Coturnix japonica: one gene and its partner. The protein of the gene in region 2 binds, or shares a complex with, the protein of the main gene of each other region. Links are inferred from orthologs where the notes say so. Each region holds a gene or a part of one and is shown on either strand. Other genes may lie near its edges.

Region 1 (4,011 bases), on a different chromosome or scaffold from region 2:
TGGTGCTCTCCTTCTGGGAGGTCCAGGATAGCAACGAAGTCGTTGTGGCTGTGCAGAGAGAACAGATGTACAACACCATTACTGCAGTGATGCTTTGGATGCTGTCCCAGAGAAGAGCACTTTGTCATGCACTGCCTGCCCCCTCGACCCAAACACCCATGTGCTGGGTTAGGATTGCTCATCACTCAAGGCATGGCCAGAGCAGGTGCGAGTGCCCAGAGCCCCAGGATGATTCAGATCCCTCAGGGCCCATAGAATCGTAGACTCATTAGGGTTGGAAAAAAACACTAAGATCATCTGTTCCAATCAGGACACAAGGCAAACAGGAGCTCAGCTTGCAGCCCTGCCCCACACATCGTGTGGGATCACATGATGGCAAGTGCAAGACACACTGGACAGGGCGAGTGAACAACGAATCTAAACCTGTGCTGGTACTGCAGGATGAAAGCATGAAGTGCCTGTGAAGTCTGCAGTCGAGATAATCCCGTGGCAGGTATTTGCTGGGATTATGCCCAGTCCTACATAGTGTTTCCACAGAAAACACAGGTGTACTGCAGAACAACGAGGACACTGCTATGGAAGGAGGACAGGTGAGGGACAACCAAACAACTCCCTCTAGCAGCAACACAAGCAGGCAAGGAGAAGGGCCACCAAGCTTCAGAGAGCTGCAGCACACCTGGGCAGGGCCCTGCTGCCAGGATGGCTGCTGTGTGGCATGTAATTGGGAAAGCAAGGAGGCCCATCCTGTCCTGTCCCATTTCACAGTTTCTCCCTACCACTGCAGCAGCCCCCAGGCAGGATGCTGGCTGCATATTTGTGCTCACACCTCGAGCTCGGGCATGATGAACTGTGAGAAGCCAGGTTGGGCAAAGGGAACAGCAAATGGCACTGAGAAAAACGCTCCCTGCGACTGATGGAGGAGAACACGGGGTGAGCCAAGGGGTATAGCTACCTCTTGATGAGCGGGATCTTGGTGCTCCAGTTGTTGAAGGATCCAGAGATGAAGACCTCTTTGCCTCCATCAGCCCAGCGGATGACAGTGGGCCGAGCCTGCTGGGATGGCTTCACTGACTCCTCCAGGTCAGGCTGCCATGAAACAAACTCCTTGTCCCCTGGAATCTGAGCAGAGAACACCAGAGCCGTTTCATTTCCCTCCACCTCCATTTGCACATTGCAGACAATAGTAACCTCAGGCTGGGCAGGCAGCTCCACCCATCCATCCCAGGAGATGTTTCTCCTGTGTTGCAGCTCAGCTTGTGGTTCCTGCTATGAAAGCTGTACCCCGGCACACTGCCACCCTGCCTGTATTTAGCTTGAATTAAACAGAGGGCTGCTCCCAACCAAAAATCCTCTCCTTGAAAGCAGCCTCAGCCCAGCACAGCCCCCTATGGGACACCACCCAGCACCCGACGTGAGGACAACAAAGGCAGCAGCCAGCCCCCTACCTTGGAGTCGTGGGAGCTGAAAACACTGGGGTCATCTGTGCTGCCCACCATGATCTTGTGTGGGTGCTCCTTTGTGGGATGGGCAGCGCCGGAGCCGTCGGAGCGGTGGGACTTGGAGCCATGGCGCTCACCGGACACTCGCTCGCTGGTGGTGTTTCCCATGACAGCTCAGCAGCCGCTGTGAGAGGGGGAAGAAGGCAGTGTTGCCTATGTCCGTGGGCTCCAGCAGGGAGCAGGGTGCTGCTTCCCGCTGCCTTTTGCCAGCACAGAGTGACAGCAATCCTAAAAAAGGCCCAAAGTTCTTCCCCGATGCCAAGTTTGGGAGCCGAAGGGGAATTTAACAAGCGAGACAGGCTGAACTAATTATAGGCATACCCTTATGAGCCATCGTGATAGTTAAGCCGGTAATTGTTATACCCTAAAACAAAAGTGAGTTAGACCACATCCTACACAAGTAGAAGGGCTGATGAGAGAAATAAAGCCACCCTTGAGTGGCAGATTGTCTCCCGGCACTAACAGAGCCTCTTTCACAACCCCACAGTCAGCCTGCACAGAACACAACGCTACAGCCAGCAGGAAAACAGCCGGAGAGTGAAAGTAGCAGCTGTTAACAGCTCCCAACGAGTGTGGGTGAGCCTGCGGGCAGAGCAGCACGGCTTCACGGCTGGCACAGCAACAGTGCTGCAAGTAGCAGGAGTGGAATCGGCCAGGCTGGAGTGCGGCCAGGGCAAGGAGTAACAACACGGTGTGTGCAGGCTGTGCTGCTGAGCAGGCTGCGCTCATAGCCGACCCCAGGGCTGCGTGTCTGCCCAGCGCCGGGCGATACATGGGCTGAGCCCATCGCTGGGGCAGCCGGCTGTGTTCTGCAGGGAGCCAGCCTTGATTCACTGGGTGCGTTGTGACAGCTGCGGATTTGCTTAGAACATCAAGCTATGTGCGGAGGGCCGGGTGAGGCCGCCAGCCAAAGCCTGGCTTTAAACCATTACGGGGCAATTACTCGAGTATTCCTTAAGCCCTCAGAGGGCAGCGAGCCCACGGCTCACCCCACGGCAACGATGAGATGTGCAGGGCCGCTGCAGCACCGCCCGGCACAGTGCCGGCCATAGCGGTGTCACCGGGCGCGGCGTTACGGTACCAACGGCACCGACACCCGCACCACCGCCCACAGCGTCACCCCCCGCACCGCCGCCCTGACAGCCCCACCCCCTGCCGCCTCCTGTCCGCTCCGGGCCCCCCGCCCCGCCGTGACACCCAGCACCCAACCCGGCCCCACAGCACACGGGGGCAGCGCAGCCCCCCATGGCAGCCCCGCTCGCAGCCCCACCTGCCCGCCGCCGCCGCCGCCGCCCCGCTCTCCGCCTCCGATCAAAATGGCGGCCGCCTCCACCGCCAGCCTCTGCGGGGCGCTCTGTCCCGCCCCCGCGCTGCTCTCTATGGTACCGGGCAGCCATTTTGTTTGAGGGCGGTGTGGCTTCCGGGAGAGCGGCCATCTTTGCTGTGGGAGCGCGGCCTGGTGCGAGTAGTTTGCGTTGTGCAGTGCGGGCGTTAATGAGCGCAGCCCAGAGCCTGAGCCTTCATGGAGAACAAGGACGAGCTTTATTGCCTTTCTCATGAGGAAAACGTGCCCCGTGCCCCTCCCAGCGACACCGAAACCCAAGGCAGAGTTAGGGGATGGCCAAAGCCCTCTTCACTAGGGGCTATGGGGACAGCGAGACGTAGATGAGCGTGGCCACGATGAGTCCGAGGCTGAAGAGGACCTTGAAGCTGTGTGGCACCGAGCTGCAGGGCGGCACAGAGCGGCCGTGCCCGGCCCTGCCCCGCAGCGGGTGCTCCACGCGCTGCTGCTGAGTCAGGATGGCCTCCCGCGCACCCTGCCATGCGCCGGGGCCATGCAGGCGGTACTGGTAGGGCGTGCAGGGCCCCAGCAGCACCTCCAGCGCCAGCCTGGGGTCAGTGAGGAAAAGCAGCGGCACGTTGGGCTTGACGCCCAGCTGGCAGGCGAGCTCGTCCATGTAGGGGATGTAATCCACCTGGATGGTGTGCCGCCGGCTGGCCACGTACCTGTGGGCAGGGACAGGCTCTGTGTGTGCTCATCGAGGAGGTGGTGGCAGGTTGGTGCCCCGCAGGGTTCTTACCGCTTGGCTATTTTCTCCTTGGCTTGTGTGATGTCAGCCAACATGGTGCTGGTTGGGGGCAGCTTGTGCAGACCTACAGAAGGAGAAGCAGAGAGCTGTGCTATCAGCAGTTGTGTCCCTCTGCGCCCAGCGTGGCTGCTGTGCCACAGGAAAAGCCTTTGGGCCACCAAATGGGGCAAGAGAGAGGCATGGGCAAAGAAATAAGAGAGAGAAAATGGTTTGCAGGTGAGGAGATCCATTACCAGCTGTATGTGATGAAATAAAGTGCAACACTTGTTGCAAAATGCAGTGATGTTTTATATCCCTTCATAGAAGGATGATAAAAGGAGGAGCACATGCCAGCAACTGAATAATTTGGCCTTGCCATACCCAGAGAAGTGCATTCCCGGCTCGCCTCGCTTACCCTTAAAGACACGGGTGGCCCAGCGGCT
Region 2 (3,545 bases):
TTATTTGTAGCAAAAAGAAATACCAAATCAGCTTCATGACTGAAAAGACAGGCTGTCCTTTCTTGGCTGAGTGGCTCTAGGCAGTCTTCTTCCCTCCCACTGAACTGGTATTTTTCTTACATTGTTAGTACAGTAAAGTGATTAGACCCTTTTATGAAGTATCACTGGATCTAAGCAGCAGCAGACAGTTAAAGTAACCTAAGTATTGCTTCTTCATAGCGCTGCCCCTTTTAGTACCAGTGGCATCAGTGCTGGTAGAGACACACAAACCAATAACTGAGGAGTTGATACAGCTAAAGAGGGTTTTGAGAGATGAACCAGCTAATCATTTGACTACAGGAGCACTAGAGCAGGAAGGAGCAAAGAAATACTAAAACTGAGATCTGGCTTTAGCTGATAAAGGGTAACAGTTTTAATTCACTTATTCACAAGTAAATTAAGACCTGGAATTTAGAACAGTTTCCCTTATAGTTCCATTAACACAAGTCTTTGCATACCATCAATGCTACGGAAGTCCAGTAAATATGTTCTGCTGTCCACCTGATACAGCTGTAAACTCATTTTAGAATATGCACTTGTCACTGGATTCTTTCTTCGAACACGCAAGTAGTATGGATTTACAACCTATTACAAAAGAGATTTGAGTTAGTTACCAGAACTGCTTGAGATGCAGACCATACTGTTCTTATTTCAACTTACTAATATCAAGGGATTTCAGGCTTGCCTCTTAAGGTGCGTTTTTTGGTGGTTTTTTTTTTTTTGTCTGTTTGTTTGTTTGTTTGCTTTTTCCTACTGGCAAAAGGAAAAAAAAAAAAGAAAAAAGAAAAAAGAAAAAAGAAAAAAAAGAAAACCCACACATCCTTAGAGCCCCAGCAGAAAAGTTAGACATGTTAACACAACTTTTTTTCTTTCAGCATAAATTACCTCTTCCAAAACCATTTTCATGCAGTAAGCAAGTTGTTGGTGCACACACACACACTTGTTTTCCTGCACAGGAATGTCATCAGAAAAATCAGGAAAGTAAACTTGCTAACTCCAACATAGTGTAAGAAAAACAGCATTCCTTTTAGTTCATGATACATACCTGGCAACTTGACAAATCAAGCACTCACTCCTGGAGTTCATGTTCTAAATTTAAGCATTTAAGCCATTCACATGCAATACATTTCTGGAAACTACATATTCATTATTTTCCAAGAATTCATTAATATATGTTAAAAACCCTGTTGGGCCTGCACAGTGGGAACCTAGGATGGTCACAGACCACTTCCTTCAGTTTCCTCTTGATATTGCCTAGCTGACCTTTAGCTGTTTTCCCCCAGTTTGGCAAATTTCCATTGCTTGTTATGCCATAATGAGCAACTTTCTATCTTGGTACACTATAACTCAAAACAATTTATATGAAACCCAAGAAAAAGTCCTTGCACCTGGTGGATGCAAAGGTAAAAGTAATCTATTTTGACTTCATTGAGCAAGGATCATTCAGAAAAACATGACTGTTCACATACTAAGCAAAGCTAAACTGGAAAGTTTTAGAACTAGCACACAAATTTCTTTTTGCTGAACTAATATACCAGTCCTTAAATTAATGTACTTATAGCTATTGCTGAACCAGACTATATACGGAAGATGCAGTTTTTTAGACTTCTAGGCTATATAACAACACAGCTCAAAATCTACTGCTTCTTGTAATAAAGAAGTAATATGCTTTTACCTTCCATTCATAGTCCAGCTGTTTAATTGCTCGACAAACTTCAGCCATTATATCATTTGGTCGACTCTGACTCCGTATCCCCAGATGCCACTTTGCTCTTCTTACACCTTGGTGTTTTGATTTCTGTGGATTCAGCTCATCAAGAGTATGGCGAGGCCGCGGTGCTTCAGCTACTAAGAATGGCACTCTCTCAGGATGAGGGCGAGACAGATGGTGATCATCAAGAAAAGAATCTGGCGGGCTAGTAGCCAGGTAGAAGTCTTTGGCCTCGTTCATTATTCTTCTATTATCTATAATGAGGTGATAAGCAACTGCTAAAGGATCCTGATGATTTCGGCTATACAGACAACTTAGCACTTCCTCTTCAGTACATTCAAACTTCTCACATACTTCTTTTAAGGCTTCATCATCAATCATGGTAGAGCTATATGAAGGGTCTTCGGGAAACAAGTATTTGGGAAGGTCCTGCTTAAACCACTCGTGTTCCCTAGATTTAAAAATAGCAAAGTCTAAGTCTGTATGTGGAGCAAACCTTCTTGGCAATAGATTCTTTAAGTTATATTTCATGCATACACAAAGAAATCACAACTGTCAGCCCAAGTGTCCCTTCTATGCACTTCCAACAAAACATCCCACACACTAAAGTAACTGAAAAATTCTATAAAATAAAAAGCAAGCATTAATGGCTTCACAACGTTTTGTTATGCATTCAGGATTAAAAAATAAAAAATAAATAAAAACCTACACCTTCTTTCTTAGAAGTGTTGCAACTATCTGAGCTCCAAAAACACCTTATTGTAACTCATCAACTTGTTGTGCATATTAAATGGATGGTTATTTAAGAATATTTCAGCTGAAATTCTTATGCTTCACACACTAAACAGACTTTCATCAGTAATGACCACTTCAGTATGGGAGAAAGCTTTTCCTATGCCACTAAAAAGCACTGCCCCAGCTGGGTAAATGTGCCTAGAACATTATTACTGCTCTTTAAAATGAGCCTCTCCTCTTGCACATGCACACATTTGGCCACGAAACAATTAAGGTATTCAGTTAATGAGAGTCGGATTGCCCTTTAAACTGACATGATGTCTTAAGGTTGAGTACAGAACTGTTAAGGATTCAAAATCCATCCATGCTCTGCAACCAAAATTTTTCAACATCTTTTCCAATACTTCCCCTAGACTTTAGATGACTTACATTAGCTAAGATCCTATCCACTCAAGTCATACAGCTCTTAGTTCTCATTGCTTTTGTTTTCTGATCAGCCTCTTCACTAAGATAGTATTTCAGTGCTCTTCTTAGAGCTTCTCAAAAAGGAAGCAGAAAAACCTAAAGCTGTGCTTCTTCAAGCAGCTTACCAGATACCAAGTCTTTGCTTTACACATTCCATATTTGCCAAAGCAAACACCCACTTCAAAAATCACAGCTTTTGTGGGCTCCGTATTCAAATACATTTGTAGCTTTAGCTCACCAAAATTCTGTGTAGTAAATGTCAGTCTTACACATTCTCATGCCAGGCCTTTGAAGCCAGAATAAGAAGTGTTAAGATGAATATTCCATCTGTAAGACACCGTGTCTTTTTCACAGTCTCCAGAAACATGAATTAAACAGTAGTTACGCTGAAGAAGATCTGTAATGTCTCCTCAGATATTTAAAGCACAGAACCAAGCCAAGAAGTTCTTTGTCCAGAAAGCAATAGTGCTGTGCAGTTTTGCACGTCATTCTGCAGCAACTTTATAAACACAGTCCTAATTCAAATTTCTCAAAATTCCTATAAAGTATATCTTTTACTGTAGCCTCCAATAGATACTTCTTTGTCCAGGGAGAT

What was found. The genes of interacting proteins can lie anywhere in the genome.
Region 1: the proteins of PRKAA1 (region 2) and PRKAB2 are in contact, whole or in part, in a crystal structure (PDB 4RER), measured with the Homo sapiens proteins. The link is inferred for Coturnix japonica from reciprocal best matches to the Homo sapiens genes PRKAA1 and PRKAB2. Residues at the interface, in NP_006242.5 of Homo sapiens: Gly20, Val22, Lys40, Lys42, Asn59, Arg60, Gln61, Lys62, Val69, Arg73, Val93, Ile94, Ser95, Thr96, Pro97, Ser98, Asp99, Ile100, Met145, Met175, Ser176, Asp177, Gly178, Glu179, Phe180, Arg199, Leu200, Ala202, Pro204, Glu205; in NP_005390.1 of Homo sapiens: Val80, Arg82, Ser84, Ser108, His109, Asp111, Ile115, Ser138, Asp159, Phe160, Glu161, Val162, Ala165, Leu166, Ser182, Ser184, Gly190, Gln191, Glu192, Met193, Tyr194, Ala195, Phe196, Glu199, Arg201, Lys203, Ser204, Pro205, Pro206, Ile207.

What each region holds. Positions count from the first base shown.
Region 1 is NC_029523.1:4,168,081-4,172,091, forward strand, and holds the start of PRKAB2 (5'-AMP-activated protein kinase subunit beta-2), read right to left. Parts: upstream 2,845-4,011; 5' UTR 2,770-2,844; intron 2,263-2,769; exon of another isoform or gene 1,624-2,262; 5' UTR 1,608-1,623; coding exon 1,446-1,607; intron 1,120-1,445; coding exon 953-1,119; intron 49-952; coding exon 1-48. Other genes in the region: dimethylaniline monooxygenase [N-oxide-forming] 5-like, read right to left, coding at 3,143-3,506, 3,581-3,653, 3,984-4,011. UniProt on the Homo sapiens protein: Non-catalytic subunit of AMP-activated protein kinase (AMPK), an energy sensor protein kinase that plays a key role in regulating cellular energy metabolism.
Region 2 is NC_029547.1:11,802,855-11,806,399, forward strand, and holds part of PRKAA1 (5'-AMP-activated protein kinase catalytic subunit alpha-1), read right to left. Parts: intron 2,202-3,545; coding exon 1,715-2,201; intron 625-1,714; coding exon 498-624; intron 1-497. UniProt on the Homo sapiens protein: Catalytic subunit of AMP-activated protein kinase (AMPK), an energy sensor protein kinase that plays a key role in regulating cellular energy metabolism.